4 linked regions of the Arabidopsis thaliana genome follow. The protein of the gene in region 3 interacts with the protein of the main gene of each other region in a pairwise test. Each region holds a gene or a part of one and is shown on either strand. Other genes may lie near its edges. The genes, in order: AT4G01090, PUB14, AT2G32840 and AT2G47710.

Region 1 (5,536 bases), on a different chromosome or scaffold from region 3:
AACGATAGTTATCCCAAAAATGCAATGTTAATATTTTTGTCAAATCTGATTGGTGTTGGAAAGTGGACTATCTATAAATCCATCTTTAAATGATAGACAGAGACACAGAGTAGAAGACTTTACAGCTGTACGTAGCTTTTTGTATAAACCACAAAAATAGTCAGAAGGCGACCTACACTATGTGATCATATAACACTCCCCATATATCTTTCAAGTCTTCGTTTACGAGGTTAATATTTTTCAACGTTTAGGATCCAGGTTTCTTTTAGATTCAAGTTGTGAATTAGAAAACAAACAAAAGAAGAAGTTTTGAGAGCACGTCTTCTAACATGGAAGCATTAAACTTGACGTATTTTTATGGACTATATTAATCGATATGCTGGGAGGATGATGAAAAAATAAAGAATTTATATATAAATATTAGTTATTTAGGTAAGTATGAAAGATAAATAATATATAAACCAAAAAATTTTTTTTAAAAAAATTAATTACAAAAATGCTATTGAATAAAAATAATTGTAATATTCGGATGATAAGTATATAATTATTTGTTTAATGTTTTAAAAACTATGATATCGCGATAAGTTTATAAATTATTTGTTAAAACATATTTATCGATTTAAAATTGTAAATCAGAATTTTTTATTTATGTATATTCAGCACAATAAAAGGAAATTAGACTTTTTTATATAATTAACATGATAATAATTATAACTACATGATATATAGAATGATAACATGCTAATATATTATATAACAGAATAATATTTATATGAAAACGTTAAGATATTCGATACATGAATAATGTTTACTGTAACGGATAATTTATACATAATATTTACTAATAATTGTTAACGAGGTTAACCTGATGATAACAATGAAAATATTTAGTAACAAAACAATATATGAGACTTTAATTAAAAAAAAGAAAAATACAGAAGAATAATAAAGTAACTTCATTAGTTCTTTTACTGTTGAAATAGTCCACAATTCCTACACCTAATTTTTCAGTCTTCTGAGCATATAAAGTGATATTTTCCTATTTTTATTTACTTTTTAATTGTATTATAATAATATTTGGGTATTTTTGGTTATTATAATAATATCTGAAAATATTATTGATATTTTTGGTTATTTTTATATTTTTACTAAAACAACCGAACCGATCCGAATCCGAACCAAAATCGAACCAAGTTTTTAGAATATCTGAATGGTTCTCAACCTCTTCATATCCGAATAGATTTGATATCCAAAAAAGAACCAAACAGATAGGGATACCCGAATGACCAGACCTAGTATTATTGATATAAAAAAGGTTGCTCAATGTATAATTTCATTTGACTAGCTGGTCTGTTTTCGTACAAACACACTCACAAAAGTACGAAAATAGGAAGTCGTCTTAGTTTTAGAAAATAACTATTGCTGCTTATTGGCATATATTGAAAAATCAAATACTACTAGTAATCGTAAGTTCTAAATTTGAATGTTTTTTTCCCGAGTAATTGAATTGTTCTTAGTAATTAAGTTCACAAATTTGGAAAATTGCGATATCTGAGAACGTATTAATTTACCTGTCGGTAAACAGTCACACTCATGTTTCTAGATTTCGTATATTTTAGTAATAATTTGGTTAGTCTCCTTATCTGCGAGTCAACGAGACCCGGTCCGCTCAACCGTACTACAGTCTAAATTCTAGTTTCACGCGCTTACTTACATTACATACGCGCTCATCTCTTCTTTACTCAAAAGTTTTAAAAAACGAATATCAAATCAACGCTAACAAAGTTTGATTTTTTGCTTCCATCTTCTTCCCCTCCTTAAGTTTTCAAATCTATTCATCAAATTTTCTTTTGTCTTTCCCTTAAGATTCCCGGGAAAGCCAAGGAAAAACGCTAGAAGAAAATTAACATAATAATGTTAATTGTTGCTTAAACCTTCCAGCTCAAGTTTGGTAGTAAGTAAGCAGACATTTAATCCCCCAAGAAGCAATTGAAGAAGACTTTTAATTCTTCTGAATTTTCTTTCCAAAAACCCCTTTTTAGAAAATTGGTTGCATCATAGAGATTGGTTCATTTATTCCCACCGGAGAAGATCATCAAATTCGTCTTCTCACCTATATCGCCGACGACATTCTTCACGGTTCGTTTGATTTCTACCTGTTGGTTCTTCGTTTTATCTGAATTCAATCGGAGATATATGTTTTTGAGTTCGAATTTGATAAAAAATCGAAACTTTTTTGATTTGAATCGCAGTTGGAAAAAAACAAAGCAAAACCCTAGAAATAGTGGCTGATGAGGTCGCGAGGCGATGTCTCTGAAGCAGAAGGTACGAGATCAGATGCTGGTTCTTCAAGAAGCGAAGAAGAAACGAGTCTGAAGGAGAAACACTCAAATTCGCGAGCTGGGTCTCAAAGATCTGGAAAAAGCTTGAGAAATGACGAGCCTAATTACGGATCAGATTCTTCATCTAAGAACACAAGCAGCAGCAACAACCCTATTGAGTATACAGAGCATGAACGAGCTGAGCTTTTAAGAAGGTTAGATTCTATCAAAGATCATCTACTTCGCGGTGGTGGTGGTGGTAATAATGTAGTTGATAAACCTAAAGAACCAGATCAGAATCAGCCTTTCCTTAGACCAGTTCATCTTCATGGTCATGCTAATCATAATCCTGGTCCTTCTTATTACCATCAGTATCCAGAACCTATTCAATACCCTGGACCGGTTCATGGAATGTATCCTCAAGCTTATCAAGATCCTTATGGGTACCAAAGAAGACCACCTCCAGTTCCTAATCCAAACTGGTATCCTCCTGGTCATTACCCTAATCAGATGGCTCGTCAGTATCCTGGAGGTCAATATGTTGAACTTGGTCCTGATATAGTTGAGCCACATTCTTACTATCCAGCTACTCCTGGTAGGTACGGTGACCTGCCTCCGTATAGCCCGGTTTCGTCTCACCATCGTGAAGAGAAACTCGCTACACAGTACAGTGATATGCCTCCGTATAGCCCGGTTTCGTCTCACCATCGTGGCGAGAAACTCACGACACCGTATAGTCCACGTGTTAATAACGGTTCGAGTTTTCCTTCTTCGATGGGCACTCCAGGTCCTCGAGGTGGTTATGCAAGGTGGCCGAGTGAACATGATTCTGAAATGGGCGGTGCTTTTGCTCGTGGGTATGTTAAGAAAGCTGTATCGGATACTGGTGTTCGACGTTGTCATCCTCTTGCTGGTGGTGCTCCTTTTATAGCTTGTCATAGTTGCTTTGAGCTGCTTTACTTGCCTAAGAAGAAGCTTTTGTCTCAGGAAAGGTTACATAAGCTGCAGTGCGGTGCTTGTTCTGAAGTTATTAGTTTCACAATCGTTGATAGGAAACTCGTTTTCTCTTCTGGTAATGAGGAAACAAAACCGGTCTCTCTAGAGGTTGAAGATAGAAACACAACAAACACAGTAGTGATAGAGGAGGAAGTCTCTTCTGTTGATTTCAACAGCTCAGGTAGAGATATTCCACGTAAGGATGAAGAAGAACCAGTGCAAGAACTGAGAAATCATCAGGATACTATTACTACGCAAAGCGTCCGCTCTGAATCTCAACACTCAGATGATGAAGAAAGATCGAGCAATTCTAGTGAACAACAACAGAAGGAGGTCAAATCTGTTCGTCGGCGAGGTAAAGGGTCAAAAGCACCTGAACCCGCTGCTCCTGATAATGCCAGTCTCCTTGAACTTTTTGAGTATTCTAATGTAAACAGAGCTGCACTCGCTTATGGAATGGCGCAGTTAGGTTATGAAAAGCCAGATAAGCAAAAGTCTTTCATGACACAGGACTCGCTGAAACCAGAATCAGTAGCTACAGAGACAGAGGTTTCTTACAATGGATACTCTAACACCGAGATCTCAGAAGATTCAAGGTACTCAAACAGAAAGGGTAGTGAGTACGGTTCGACAGAGATCACAACGAGGTCCTCTACTGATCAAAACGAAGACCAGATGAAGTCATTAGAGGTTTGGGTTAATGGACATCTTATACCAGAAGATCTTGTTAGCAGTGCTGAGAAATTAGCTGGACCAATCCAAGCTGGAAAGTATTGGTACTTCCATGAACTTCAGCATCCACTGTTTCTCTCTTGTTTTTGTTTTTCCCTTTACTCAGTTTCTGATACATGTCTCTGATTCAGGTATGATTACCGAGCTGGGTTCTGGGGAGTGATGGGCAAACCGTGTCTCGGTATAATACCTGTAAGTACCTTCACATTGTTCTCTCAAGTTGATTATTGGAATGGTGTCATCAAATTGATGAAGAAATGGTTGACTTACTTGTTGTTGTTGCAGCCATTTATTGAAGAGTTTAGCCATCCAATGCTGGATAACTGCGCTGCAGGAAACACAGACGTGTTTGTGAATGGAAGAGAGCTTCACAAGAGAGATTTCGAGTTACTTGTGGGTCGTGGTCTGCCTAGAGACAAGAACCGTTCTTACATTGTTGATATATCAGGAAGAATCCTTGATCAAGATTCAGGAGAAGAACTTCACAGCCTTGGCAAATTAGCCCCAACGTAAGCAGATTCACACAAATGATTTTTATTCTTTTGAGATTTTGAGATCACCTAAGATTCTAAAGTTTTAGTGTGTTAAACTTGAAACAGGATTGAGAAAGTGAAGCATGGATTTGGTATGAGAGTTCCAAGATCATTAGCTTCATGAAAACTCCCCCTAGTAACAACTACACAACCAAAATATGATTCTGCTTCTTGTTTCCATCTTCATATTATTTATTTGTTAAACACAACTGTAAAGTGTTTTTTACATCTTGATTTTGATTTTTGGTATTCTTTTTAAAATATCTTTGGGGAAATGTCTGTATGTTTTTTATTGCGACCAGAACCGGTTTAGGGGTTATAGACTGTATACAAACCGGGTTCTCTCGGTACAAGGTTTGTGCTTTGTATTATTTCCATTTTTTTATGGAATGATATTAGTTTGCTCTTAATGACTTTTTTTTTTATCTCTTTTATTGCTCTTTTGTAAGTTGTAACAGAAGCTTCATCGATAACATGGTTTACTCCTCCTAATTCCTTATTATCTCTGGTTTAACTAAATCGTTTATTTAAACCGGTTTTGGTTTGTAGGTTTCTTTCATGTCAGCAACAATATATGTAGGTCATTCGACCATACTCAACAATTCAATTAAACAATGTTCTCCTAGCTGATCTTTCTTTCTTCATGATTAGCTTCTAGGCTTGATTTGCCCTTTCCTCGAGTTCTAGGTGAATTATGGATTGGGATTATCTATCTATCGGTTAGTTATCCGGTTTCATCTTTCTTTCCACTAAAATGTTCATATTGTCTGCTAATTCCTCTCTTGGCTGATGGACTAGTTTTTGCACGTTTCTGAAGTGGGTCCTTCCTAAAATACAAGACAACAGATTATAACTTACTCATGGGCCCAATATCAATATCAATATCAAACAAGAAAGAGAATCTGTTCTTAACAGGCCTCGTGGTCCGTTCGTTTAGTTTTCATGTTTCAATAT
Region 2 (4,886 bases), on a different chromosome or scaffold from region 3:
ACATGATTACAGGGTTGCTGATGGAAGACGCTCAATTGTTCTTGTTGTCTTCATTGGAGGTGTAACATTTGCTGAAATCTCTGCTTTACGGTATCTCGCCTCTAAGGTATATATCAAACTTCAAAAGTTTACCATAAAAAAAACACTCTTTTTGTCCGCTGAATCCTCCATTCTTGCTTCTGCATAAAATTTTATCAGGAAGGAATGGCTTATGATTTGATTGTTGCCACAACAAAAATCGTCAACGGCGCAACGTTGATAGAAACATTCATGGAAAAACTAGGCTGATCCGTAAACTGAGCGTTATGTTCATCTTTTCTCTTTCGAGTGTGTTTATTAATTCATTTTTTGTATGTCTTTGTTTATTTTTCTGGATCATTGTGGTTGCAGAGTGAATGGTATGCGTATGTGTATGTGTATATTAAATGGTTGAGATACAGCGTGATTATACAAATTCAATAATGTTTTCTTGGTACAACCTTTCACTTCAACTTCTGCTAGTTATATACGGCTTTACTTCTCCCTAATTCTCAAGCAAATCGAGAGTGTGAAACAGTAAATAATAGGGTTACTTTTACTTTTAAATATCAAATAGATATACACAACTCTGAGTCGAAAATTACATATAACATCATTACATAAGATTCTTATGTCAGACTCAAACCAAAGGTTCCTATACATATAATCTACACTGAAACAAATAACATTCCAAAAGAGCGAGGCTTTCATGGAACAGTAGTTACTGCAACACCTTCGGTTTGCTGAATAAGCTCCAACAAGCTCGCAGCTTTCCTCTTTGCTCTATCAGTGCCATTCTCAGTAAGTTCCTTCAAGGCCACATCTGCACCAACCTCTCTTGCTACATTTAGCCTTTCTATATTCCCAATACATAGATACCAAAGTATTGCTGCAGCATTTTCCCGGTTCCTTGGTGACCCTGTCCTTATAATCTCAACCAAAACCGGGATAGATTCTGCTTCAGCTATCGCTGTTTTCCCTTCTTGGTTAGTTGAAAGAATTGCTAAAATGGCCAGAGCCTCATCCACCATTCCGCCACCTGCATCTTTCAGTAATCTGGTCAGAGGGTCAACAATACCGCCTTTAACCGCCCTTGATTTGTTCCCCTGGTATATGCATAAGTTGAAAATCGCTGTAGCAGCATCTTTTTTGCCTCTTCGGGTTCCTTCCTCAAGCAAGCTTATAAGTGCTTGGATAGCTCCAGCAGCACCTATTGCCACTTTGTTTTCATCTATAACAGATAAACTGAAAAGGGTTGCAGCAGCGTTCTCTCTAGCTTCCATGCTTCCGTTCTTTAGGACTTCTACTATATCCGTTATGGCTCCTGCATCAACAATGGCTCCTTTGTTCCCTTCATTTATGGAAAGATTCAGAAGAGCTGTCACAGAATGTTCCTGAGTCCGAGGATCTGGTGAGGATAGAAGCTCTACAAGGAGTGGTATGGCTCCAGCCTCAGCGATACAAACTCTGTTATCCACGTTCCTCTTGGCTAGTAACCTTAATTCTCCAGCTGCAGCTCTTTGCTGTTCTGTAGTACCGTTGGCCAATTTCTCTAACAAGGAAAGGACAAATGTTCGATCACAATCTGAAGAGCTGCTTCCTCCTATTTTTGTGGTTCTACAGCTCCCTTGATTTTGCGGTAGCTCAATGCCGTTGCTTTCACACCACAAAGCAATGAGACTCTTTAACACATAATTAGGGGTTAATCCAGCATGTAAAAGTGTCTCCTGAGATTTCGGACATGTTTTATGACCAGCATCAAGCCACTTCTGAATTGATGATCTTTCATATGTCTGCAAGGTCGAAAAATTCAGCTATAACAACAAATACACAAGTTTAATAATCAAATTCACTACAATGCACAACGAAACTTGCAAAGCCAGACCTGTCCAGTGGAGACGATAACAGGATCCTTCATCAGTTCAAGTGATATCGGACACCGAAAATACTCTGGTATAACAGGAGAACGATGTCTCGAAACGATTCTGCTGCCAGTGGATGGATCAGGGTCTGAACTTTCCATTGTTACAAAGTCTACCAGGTTTTTAAGAAGTGAAGACATCCTCTCGAAACAGTCATCAGGATCTCCATCATATGAAAGAAAATACTCATGTATCGCATGCGATTCTTTCTTCAGCTCATCAATGGTAGTAAGTTGGAGCTCTTGTGAAAGTCTTTTGAGGATTATAGGGTCAGGATCCATCACATTCTCTGCCATAGCTAGATCATGGCTAAGCTGTAGATCAGACTCCTCCCATCTTTCTTTTGCTCTCTTGAACTGAAAATGCAGAAGCTGAACCTACAAATTCAGAGAGCTTATCATTAGAATTCAGATTTTAATCAACAGAAAAATATAGCCCTCCTTAAATCAATGCATTGAGAAGTACCTGTTCTCTGACTTCCTCTGATACCTCAATCTTCTCATAAGGAATCTGACTTAACGCTGCTTCTATCTCCACTGTCATGTCACGGAACTTCTCCACAAGAGAATCTCTATCGAAAAGCTGCCAGCAGAGAGAACACGAAAAAGGTCTCAACTTCTTGTTATCAGACTCAATTTGATTCATCCCAAAATAAGAGAAACAAGACAAAACCCAAATTCTTGATATTGTTAAAGAAGACAAAGACAAACAACAAAACCCTAAACACCAAAATCTTAAACCCTCGAAGAGAAAACAAAGGAAATTGCCAACTTTTGCCAGCTACCAAAGATATAAATACAAATAAAACAGAGCAAGTAAATGAGTAACCTGAAAAAGCTTGCTTCCTCCATTAACCGATCGAAAAAGCTCAAGACTTGAATCAAGAGCGATTCTCATAGCCTCAAACCCTGTAATCTGATCCTTTTTCAATTCAACATTGACGTCAATCAATTCCTCGAAGAAAGGGCTGAGAAGCGTGATCCTACGAACAAGATCGCCTTGGATCTTCCCAATAAAACCCCTTGAAGATGAAAACCCTGATATTTCTTTAACGGAGTCAACGAGTCGACTCATTAGCTCCTCGTGGGAACAACAATTCGTTAATCCCATCCCTCAGATTTTACTGTTCCAGAGGGCTTCAAAAGGGTTTTAACGAAACCAAGACGAGGAAGAAGAAACCCAAAAAACCAAGAGGAGGAACAGAAATGCTATGGAACGAAATAGTCTTCTCATCAACGTGACAATAAACACCTATTTGGACATGAAAAGTCTCATTTTGTCCATTTTCAGACCAATCATAATTTTTTCTATTTTATTTTGCCGTTAAATTTTAATATTTAAACATTGCATTTAGATTTTCATATTTATTTATTGCCTCAACTATAAATTTATGATATTAAGGTTGACCAATACAAATATATAAAGTTTTTAAGTTTGTATTTGCATCTGAAATCATCAAAAGTCAAATCCTTTGTATAATGGATTTCTCTACCTGTTTGTTAGTCTCTTTGAAATTGTCAAATAATTTCTTGATTTAGGTTTTGTTAGAATTGGCTGCAATAGTCTCTCCCACAAACTATACATGCATTGAATCATTTGAATGAAGCTTTACTCTTCTCTACTTCTGATGAATCCCACTAAAATATGTACTGATGATCCATTGCTTGATATAACTTGGGTTTCCACTTTTGAGGTTCGTAATATCCCCAGTTTCAAACTCAAATCTTCACATTATACAACACACTTGACTTAACAGATAGAGAAATATTGTTTTGAAACATTACATTAAAAAGTATGGAAAGATTAGTAGTCTGAAGACATGGCTGAAGATGAGATGATTCAACACTCCAATCATGACGAAGGAGCAGGACGAGGTAGCCTCTTGCCAATTTCCTATCAGACATGTGTACACTACAACAAGTTAAAATCTCATATACTTCGTATTAATCCATCTTTCTGCATCCAAAACTATTATCCTCCACAAACTACAAGAAATTAAATCTCATATCTAGCTGCATATCACTGCCTATCACTTTTCCATCCTCCAATTCCAAAGCAATGAAAGAAACGGATAATAAGATCTCAATAAATGCAGAGGACAAGAAAATCGATCATAAATCAGAGGCAAGAAAGAAGTGCACACCTCAAACAGTTGATTTATGTTATCGGCTGTCTTGGCTGACGTCTCAATGAAGAACATGCCGTTCTTCTCTGCAAGCTCCATTCCATCCTGTTAAGAAATTGAAAATGTGATACCACTGAAGAAGCAAGGACAATGAAAGTGACAACAAAATGCGCTACGGAATCTAGATGAAGACGTTTACGCAAACTCACCTCAGTAGGTACTTCTCTTTTTTCATGTAGATCAGCTTTGTTACCAACCAGAGCCATAACAATATCTGGGCTTCCATGCTTTTGCAGTTCCTGTTAGATTTATGGGCAGGGGTAAAACAATAGCACTAGATTCAATATAATGTTGATATCTTTCCTGCACGGAGTTGTGCCAAATGGCTTCATGGTAGCAACGAGTGCAAATTAATGGAACAAAAATGTCAGAGAAGTAAACCAGTTGCCCAACTAAATGATACCCATTATATACACAGACAGGAGTGCTGTTGGCTATATGACTGTCTGTAACTCTAATTTTCAGTCCTGGTAAAGATATAGCTCGGAAGCTATTGCACGAATCCTAGAAACATGAACGAAATGGAACCTTTTGAACCCCCTGAAAACATACCTTAACCCAATACTGTGCTTTCTTGAACGATTCAGGGCTTGTTATATCATACACAATAACAGCAACTCCAGCTCCACGGTAGTATAGTGGTGCAAGAGCAGAATACCTAAAAATAAAGTGAATGCAGGTTAAATCCTAGTAAGTTTGCAAAGCGTTTATCTAATAAAATAAGCAATACAAATCTGCATGAAGGGTTTAATACCTCTCCT
Region 3 (4,542 bases):
TTACACAGGTTAAAAGTCAATTTTTACTCATTGTTTCTTCTCAGTTGAGGAAATGTAAAATGTCTCTAACAACATGTCCATCTACAGATTTGGTTTCGTGTCAATGAGCAGCTTCCTGCTAATTTACAGAAATCATTACCGGATCGACCACCTGAAATGCAATCTACTGGAGTCCATGATGGTATAGTGAATAAAACCTATTTTGGATAGCTTCTCAAAGAAAGATGTGATTTCTTTTGATCCTTATGAATTTTGACAGGCTCATCAAAATCAGCAACTAAACCTTCTCCAGCACCTCGTAGAAGTCCGCCACCGCCGCCACCATCTTCTGGAGAATCAGATAGTGGAGGACCGCTCGGTGCCTTTTGGGCGACTCAGCATGCTAAAACCTCAGTTGTATCAGAAGATAACAAAAACATGCCTAAATTTGATGAACCAAACAGTAACACATCTAAATCTGAAAGAGTTCGTGTGGATAGTCATCAACCCAAAAAACCAAGTCCTGTGAGAGGAGAGGCTCGTGGTATTCAAAGAAATAAAGATCTTGAAACTACGATTTCTCAGAAGAATACAACTCCTGCTGCAGCCAATAACATGACAAGAGTGTCCAAGGATGATGCCTTCAACTCGTTTGTTGCTGACTTTGATACCACAAAGTTCGATAATGGTAATAAACCTGGCAAAGAAGAGGCATTGGAAGCTGAGATACAGAGGTTAAAAGACGAGTTGAAGCAAACAAAATCAGAGAAGGCAGAAATAACTGCTAAGTTTGAAAAGCTTTCTGCTATCTGCAGATCGCAAAGGCAAGAGTTGCAGGATCTCAAACAAACACTTGCCTCTAAAAGTGCCTCACCGTCACCGAGCAGAGACTCTTCACAAAATCAACCCTCTCCAGGGATGCATTCCATGTCATCAACTCCATCGGTATTATTCTTGGTTCTTGTTCATCTAAGCTTAGACACCCATACAAAAGTCTTCATCAATGTATATCTTAGAATTCTAATGTTCTTGATGAAACAGAGAGATAAGATGGAAGGAACAATGTGGGAACTTCAACAGGACAGATCTAACTGGTCAACTGGCAGCTCTGATACAAATTCATGGCAACCTTTTAGTGATGAAGCGAAACCCGTGATGGAATCTGCATCAAAGGGTAACAATAATACGATTAATCAGTCTGTGAGAACCAGAAGTAAACCAGCTTCTGCTGCAGGTACTCAAGGTTTTGAGCCATGGGGTTTCGAGACAGAATCCTTTAGAGCCGCTGCAACGTCTGCAGCTGCTACTTCTGCATCTGGAACACAAAGATCTATGGGCTCTGGAAACAGCACTTCACAGAGATATGGGAACTCAAAGATGAGAGAAAACCAGAAAACAGCTCAACCTGCTGGATGGGCCGGCTTCTAAAACTCACTCAGATGCGCATTGCTATTTCTTCCTCATGCAACAACAACAGCTTCATGTTGCTGCCATTACAGAATCTTGAATCTTTTTGTAGATGATGATCATCCCCTGTTTTTGTGCTGCTGCTAAATATACCCCACCCATATCCATTATGTTTTATGTAGAGTCTTAAACTTTACACATTCTCTGAGCTGTGGCCAGATATCTCAGCTTATGGATTATTATTGGAAAAATAAATAATTCAAGATTCAGACAGCTTACACTTCTTTCTGTGAAACTTAGAACTAAGGTCACATTTAATACCGAACCCAACCATACGATGGCTGCATTATGGTTTAAATGTTACCCAAAAAGATTTCAGCCGTAACTAAATCAGCATTTTAAAATCCTGGATTAATTTTCGTTAATGTAAATCTCACATTGAACCGGACCCGAGTAGAAAAAAGTAAAAAACCGAACCAAAACATTAAATACCGAGCCCTAGTTTAGTTAGTTAGAAGGAACTTAAAAAGAGTTCGTGTCCTGAAAATCAAAGAAAAAGCTACCAAATTTTGAATCGTTGTCTTTAACTTGATTTTCCCCAAATTTCTCAGAAATCAAAATCCGCCGGAACAATGTCTACTCCCGATCCCAATCCCAATCCAAATCCAAATCCTTCCGTCTCTGTAGCAGTATCGACTCCAATCGTCACCGCATCTGAATCTCCGGTGACACAACCTAACACAGTCATAACGCCGTCGTCTCAACCTCAACCTCAAACACCAGCTTCGTCGTACAGAGCCATAGCTCCGCTTCATCGTCATCATCCTCATCAAAATATCTACACTAACCCTTTACCGATTAGGCGTTCGAATTCCGTTACTAATTCGCCTCATCAGCCTCCTCACCCAGACCCGTCTAGTCTGATATACCCGTTTGGTTCTTCGGGTCGAGGGTTTCCGACCCGACCCGTTAGACAGAATTCCAATTCCGTCGCTGATCCAGTTGGTAGTCCTAGTCCAGGTGGGTATACTCCTCGAGGGCCAGTTTACGGATACCACCATGGCCAATTCGTGTCGAATTTGGATCCAATGAATCAGTTCATGAGAGCTGCACATCCTCAGAATCAACAATCTCCTCAACTTGGTTCCGGTCATATGAAAGGAGTTCCTCATTTTTTGCAACCTCGGGTTAGTTATCGTTTTCGTTACCAAAACAAGTTTGAATCTTTTTGTTTAATTCCATAGTTTTGTCAAGTGTTTTTTTTGTAGCTTGTGCTAGTTAGTGAAAATGTGTATGTTGAAGTGAAGATTATTTGCTTTGGTGATTGTAGAATTCGAATAGCAATCTCTAATGAATTAGGAAAGGTTGAAACTTCTGTTAGATATTTGTGTGAGGTTACATTTTGTAAATTTTGGATTTTTGATTGTTAGGCTACTCCTTCTCCAACTTCAATTCTAGACAACAGTGGGCATAAGAAGGCCAGGTACTTTATCTTCTTTGCCATTATGCTTTGTTAATTAGAAACTACTCTAGAAACTTAATAATGTCTCTGTTTCGTTTCCATGGTGTTTAGGAGCCGGGATGATGCTCTGGTCCTCGTTAGAAAAAGAAAGGTATAGTTTTATCCTTGTTTTTTGGTTTTGCATTATCGTTCGAAACCGCTTGCTTCGCCATTTGAGGAATTTTAAATACTTTTTATTTGTTCTGCAGGTTAGAATAACCGAGGGAGCTTCTTTATACTCGCTGTGTCGATCTTGGTTGAGAAATGGTGCTCATGAGGGAATTAAGGTTCGTATCCATTTCTTATTTCTGCTTTGTAGTATAATGCAACACTTGGATTTTTGTATATCTATTCTTGATATCTTTGGAAGATTAATGACGTTGTTTACAGCCGCAGCGAATTGATATGATGACATGTTTGCCAAAGCCTTTACCTGTGGACAAGACGGAGACAAGTTTGCCAAAAGATTTAGTTGAAGAAGCAATTTGCGAAGAAGACAAAGAGGTTTCGTGTTTCTCTGATTTCTTTCTAAAATGGTAATTGTGAAGGGTAAAGCTAAGTTTGATTATTTACTTCAACTCTCTTGATGAGCTTCAGGACGAGGAATCTGTGAAACATTTGTCAGAATCTGATCTTTTGAAAAGACATATAGACCGAGCTAAGAAGGTCCGCGCTCGGTGAGTCCCACAACATATCATCAAAGCTAAGTTCGATGGTTGAAGATTGAATATTTTTTGTTTTGAACAAAATTGTGTGGTTTGTTTTGTTTGCAGATTGAGAGAAGAACGGTTAAAGAGAATCGCGAGGTACAAGGCAAGATTGGCTCTTCTTCTGCCACCCTTTGGAGAGCAATGCAGGAACGAGTAATGATTTTAAAGTTAGGGACTTCGGTGTGAATATACTTGCAGTTGATTTAGAAATGACATAAATTATCTTAGAGCCAGAGTTATGTCTTATGTCTGTGTGTAATATAAGAAAGATTTTCTCTGAATTTTCGTCATACACTCGTATTAGATGATTCTAAACTAATCAACAATCTCAAGATTTTCTGAGATGGTTAACTTATATAGCTCTTATCTTTTTTTTTTTTCAAGAACACCTAGTAGTTCTTGGACAAGTAAAATTTTCAATATAGTATTCGGTCATGGTGGGTCGACCATGTTTTGAACGCTGGATCGATCATCATGTGGTCGGACGATCATAATTTCAGAGATTGATCGACCATCCTTGGAAGCACGAACACATTTAGTCATGTGTTTGAATTTTCTTTTATCTTATTTGTTTCCAACTCCCAAATGATACGAAATGTCACAAAAACTCTTAAAATCACTACATAATCTAAGACTTCCTAAGACACAAATACTCCTATGGACATTAAAACAAGATTTTATCAACAGTGAAGCCATATTATCATCACTGTAGTTCTGAAAATGCCATATTGCCCAAAGTCTTTTCTAGCTAGTATGCCATAGTGGCTAACATCTTCTTCTTTCTTTTCATCTCTCTAAATAAGCAAAAAATTGAGAGGCTTTCTCTTCCTCTTCTATTCCTCTCCAACATAGTATTCATTCTCTCCTCATCTCATCTCTTGTTTCTTTTCAGCCGGAGCTTGTGCCGATGGTTCTACGTCGATCTCACTCTCTCAACGACGAAGA
Region 4 (3,616 bases), 5.6 Mb from region 3:
GGAGCTTAGCCTTGGATCTGGTACCATCATCGAGCACCGATTCGAGGCAAATCGAGCACGAGACTTCGACAGGAGACGAGGAATCCTCCGGGTTCCCGCGTTTTCCAGGGTCACATCCACCAGCAATTCGGAGATCATCATCGCAACCCGAATCTTTAGCTCCGGCCATATCTTCACCAGCAGGCCAAATCGGAGGGAACCAACGAAAATTTTCGTTTTTCGAAAGAACAAAAAAAAAGAAAAGAAAGGATTGTCAAACAAAAATCAATGAGAAACCATGTCTCGCTATCGCTATCTGTCTCTCCGAGTTCGTCTGCCTTTTGGAACGCCGATGCGGTAAATCTATCCTTCCTCTTCCTCTCTCTCTCTCTCTCTCTCTCGTCCGACCTGTTAGAGATGACGTGGTTCAAAACCGGACAATGACATTGGACTCTCCCTTTTCTTTTCTTTCCTCTCCCATTGTGGATAATTTTTTATTATTATTTTATTACTTTAGTTTTGGATAGATGATCATCAAACCATCCATCCATCTGAACCAACAACCAAACTATAAATTTGTTCATTTAAATCATTAATCTCTATTTAGTTGATTTGTTTTCTTCTCTAGTCTCTTTCATATGAAGTTTATTATAACTTTCACATCCATTTTGTTATGAGAAAGATTAGCATATTATAACACACGAATATTGATTGTCTAAGGATACCAAAACATTGTATGTAGTAAACAATTACACATATAGATGCAAATGTATATTGTCTTGAATCGTTGTTTCACATCAAGCTAATATTATTTCACTTTATTCTTCTGAATTAGAAGACTATGCAGAGACTTTGCTTTGACCGAGTAGCCTTCCCTTAGGTTTCAGACCTTGATCTTAGGCTTCTTCACGATCATCACCGAGCAATGAGCATGATGAGCGCAGTAGTCACTCGTACTCCCGAGAACCGCCCTGCCACACAAACCGACAAGTGAATCAGAATGGGTGTATAGTTGAAAGATTGATCATAAGAATTAAGGCTGAATGAAATAATACCTCTTGATAGCTCCATATCCATGGCTTCCCACAACAAGAATAGAAGCATGATGCTTATCTACAACTTCACATAGGATATTCCTTGCATCACCTTCGAAAACTTCGATCACCGCGCCATGAACCTACACAACAAACCTAGGAATGATGATTGAAAAGAAGAAGATAGTTGCTAACCAAAGATAGATAGTTACTATAAGAAAAACCAGTGCTACTTAGCTTGAAGCTCTTAAATGTGCTAGAGATTCACATTCACATTACCAAACTCATCTAATAGAGTCCAATACAACACATGATGACGATTATAAAATCCAAGAAACACATAAAACGAATTTGAATGTTTGATAATAGCAAGATCGTACCGATCTGCTCTGACAAATTGCTTTGGCTTTCTCGACAACCTTAGCAGCGGTATGCTTCAGATCAGCATCAACATAAGGTACAACCTCCGCAGTTCCTAAAACACACAGATTAACAAAACCTAAATGATCTCTCCCCATCGCTGCCCAAAACAGAACCCCTAGAAGAGTAGATTCGAGAGTGAAAGCAAAGAGCGTACCGGGACCAGCGAGACCAACGGCGGAGACGGCGTTAGGTTTGGCGTGGACGATGAAGAGCTTAAAAGGATAATTGGGAGCGTAAGGAGCGAAGAAACGATCGAGCGTCCACTCCAAGGCGTAAGTGCTCTGCTCGCTGTCGTCAACTCCGACGACCATCACCGATTTCCCATCTCCGGTGGCCATGACTCTGACGTTGTTCGCCGGCGTGAAGAAAACGCGCTCTTGTGTTTGTGGTAGAAAGAAGCCTAGAAGAATCCTCCAAAGTGTTTGCACAGAAAAAGAGAGTTTTGGTATCTTCTTCTTCTATTATTTAATTTCTTTAAATAAAAAGAAAAGAGGAATGTGATACTTTGATTTGATGACGTGGCTGGTCCTCATTTCTTTATGCCTTTCCATTAGTAAATTTCCCAATATTTAAAGTTACCCACAGATTTTAAATAAGAAGAACCCACAGATTTTACACAAAATTTATTCTAATTTGAATATTACCCATAAAACAAAGTACATAAAAGGATTTTGCAGGTTAACAGTTATTAGCTTTTTAGTAACAAACTGATATGAATTGGTTTGATAACTTTCGATTTTACTTGGAAATTAACTATTACAAGAAAAATCTAATTTCAAATAGTGGAATGATTTGAGTTGGGTAAAATCCGGCTCAGATGATAACAATTACAAAATAAAAATGAGACGGCCGGCTGTAGAATAATATGACGACGTGAAGCAAAAGCAGGAGTGCGACAGAAACCTCTCTAACCAAATTGCTTTTAGTTATATTCTTCTTCGTCTTGACGCTACTCTTTACCTTTTTTTATCTGATTTCAGATTTCTCCAGAATCTTCAGATTCCCATGGCCACTGTTCATGTTGTCGGTCTGAAAATCAATTCTGGATCTCCAGGGAAGGACACATCCCGAAAGGCACCTGATGCAATTCATGCTGCTTTATCACCGTCATCATCTCTATCATTACTCAGAGGTACATATACCTTAAACCCCAAACCAGTTTCTCCGTAGCATTTTGAGACGTCATCATTCTTATCTATCATCAAACCTTGCTCTTTGTCCATATAGGAGTGTTACCAAAGTATTTCAGCTCAGAGTTGTCAGTGGCTCAGTTCCGGTTGGTCGAAGGATCTTAATACATAGTGGCATTTGGACATGAGAAGAACACAGATTCTTGGGATGGATGGGAGGTAAGAGAACCATACCCTAACCTTAATAATGTCCTACAAGTCGGATCAGCAGCTTTGTTTGATTTTTGGGTGTTTTGCAGCTTCTACAAAGGCCAGTTTTGATCCAGTACACGGAGGAGAGATGTCTCAGCTCGAGTATCATAACTGTCTGAAGCCGCCTTCTGTGTTTTGAAACAACAAGTCAGCATTCTCTTACTTCCTTTATATATATTAATCTTGTTGAGATTCTGGATTTTAGGCTTGTGTCTTTGGTAACATATGTGGTTTCCGGTTAGTTATGGAATTGTCGGTCAATCTCGAGGCAAGAAGAGAGAGTATGTATATATGTAAATGTTGAACCACTAATCACTTAATGATTATTTAGTTAATTACGTTGGATCTCATATTGAGAATACTATTTTGCATATATATTTTTCTGAAAAAAACAACAAAAAGAAAGGTCAACATTACAAGAGTAAAATTGCATATGAAGAGAGTGATAATGAAAGTTCAAGTGTTTGTTTCTGAATTCTTGACATGTATATAATCACCATATAACTGTTTCCAAATTGTAGATGGTAATGCAAAAATCTGATGAGGAGGGAGATGGTTCTGTTTCCAGCAACTAGATTTAGTTATAACATAAGGGGATTGATTATTGTTATTGTTATTGATCCTTCTTCTCCTGTTGAATTGGATTGAGAGTTAGTTGGTCAAAAGGTGTTATGGGTTTTAGAAAATTAATAAAAACAGGTGGGCTTTGTCTGTACATGTCCTTAAATTATTTGTTTTGGGAGTAGTTTAATATCGAATGATACGTTTACACGTAAAAAGTCTTTTCTTTTGAGTCGT

What was found.
Region 1: the proteins of AT2G32840 (region 3) and AT4G01090 interact in a two-hybrid assay, tested with the Arabidopsis thaliana proteins (one large-scale study listed by BioGRID).
Region 2: the proteins of AT2G32840 (region 3) and PUB14 interact in a two-hybrid assay, tested with the Arabidopsis thaliana proteins (one large-scale study listed by BioGRID).
Region 4: the proteins of AT2G32840 (region 3) and AT2G47710 interact in a two-hybrid assay, tested with the Arabidopsis thaliana proteins (one large-scale study listed by BioGRID).

What each region holds. Positions count from the first base shown.
Region 1 is NC_003075.7:470,004-475,539, reverse strand, and holds AT4G01090 (hypothetical protein (DUF3133)), read left to right. Parts: upstream 1-1,660; 5' UTR 1,661-2,139; intron 2,140-2,252; 5' UTR 2,253-2,291; coding exon 2,292-4,093; intron 4,094-4,180; coding exon 4,181-4,241; intron 4,242-4,334; coding exon 4,335-4,558; intron 4,559-4,648; coding exon 4,649-4,706; 3' UTR 4,707-5,034; downstream 5,035-5,536.
Region 2 is NC_003074.8:20,319,688-20,324,573, reverse strand, and holds PUB14 (plant U-box 14), read right to left. Parts: upstream 3,222-4,886; 5' UTR 3,051-3,221; coding exon 2,769-3,050; intron 2,523-2,768; coding exon 2,406-2,522; intron 2,318-2,405; coding exon 1,904-2,317; intron 1,812-1,903; coding exon 726-1,811; 3' UTR 554-725; downstream 1-553. Other genes in the region: ATVPS33 (Sec1/munc18-like (SM) proteins superfamily), read left to right, coding at 13-106, 199-288; ARA6 (Ras-related small GTP-binding family protein), read right to left, coding at 3,792-3,833, 4,084-4,170, 4,275-4,364, 4,678-4,783, 4,880-4,886. UniProt on the Arabidopsis thaliana protein: Functions as an E3 ubiquitin ligase with specific E2 ubiquitin-conjugating enzymes. Undergoes auto-ubiquitination.
Region 3 is NC_003071.7:13,932,313-13,936,854, reverse strand, and holds AT2G32840 (proline-rich family protein), read left to right. Parts: upstream 1-1,905; 5' UTR 1,906-2,018; coding exon 2,019-2,573; intron 2,574-2,816; coding exon 2,817-2,869; intron 2,870-2,959; coding exon 2,960-2,999; intron 3,000-3,096; coding exon 3,097-3,174; intron 3,175-3,277; coding exon 3,278-3,391; coding exon of another isoform or gene 3,392-3,427; exon of another isoform or gene 3,428-3,484; coding exon 3,485-3,564; intron 3,565-3,660; coding exon 3,661-3,754; 3' UTR 3,755-4,016; downstream 4,017-4,542. Other genes in the region: AT2G32850 (Protein kinase superfamily protein), read left to right, coding at 1-8, 88-181, 260-924, 1,021-1,407.
Region 4 is NC_003071.7:19,554,183-19,557,798, forward strand, and holds AT2G47710 (Adenine nucleotide alpha hydrolases-like superfamily protein), read right to left. Parts: upstream 1,945-3,616; 5' UTR 1,775-1,944; coding exon 1,591-1,774; intron 1,489-1,590; coding exon 1,394-1,488; intron 1,157-1,393; coding exon 1,035-1,156; intron 951-1,034; coding exon 863-950; 3' UTR 542-862; downstream 1-541. Other genes in the region: RFI2 (RING/U-box superfamily protein), read right to left, coding at 1-169; AT2G47720 (uncharacterized protein), read left to right, coding at 2,442-2,568, 2,866-2,957.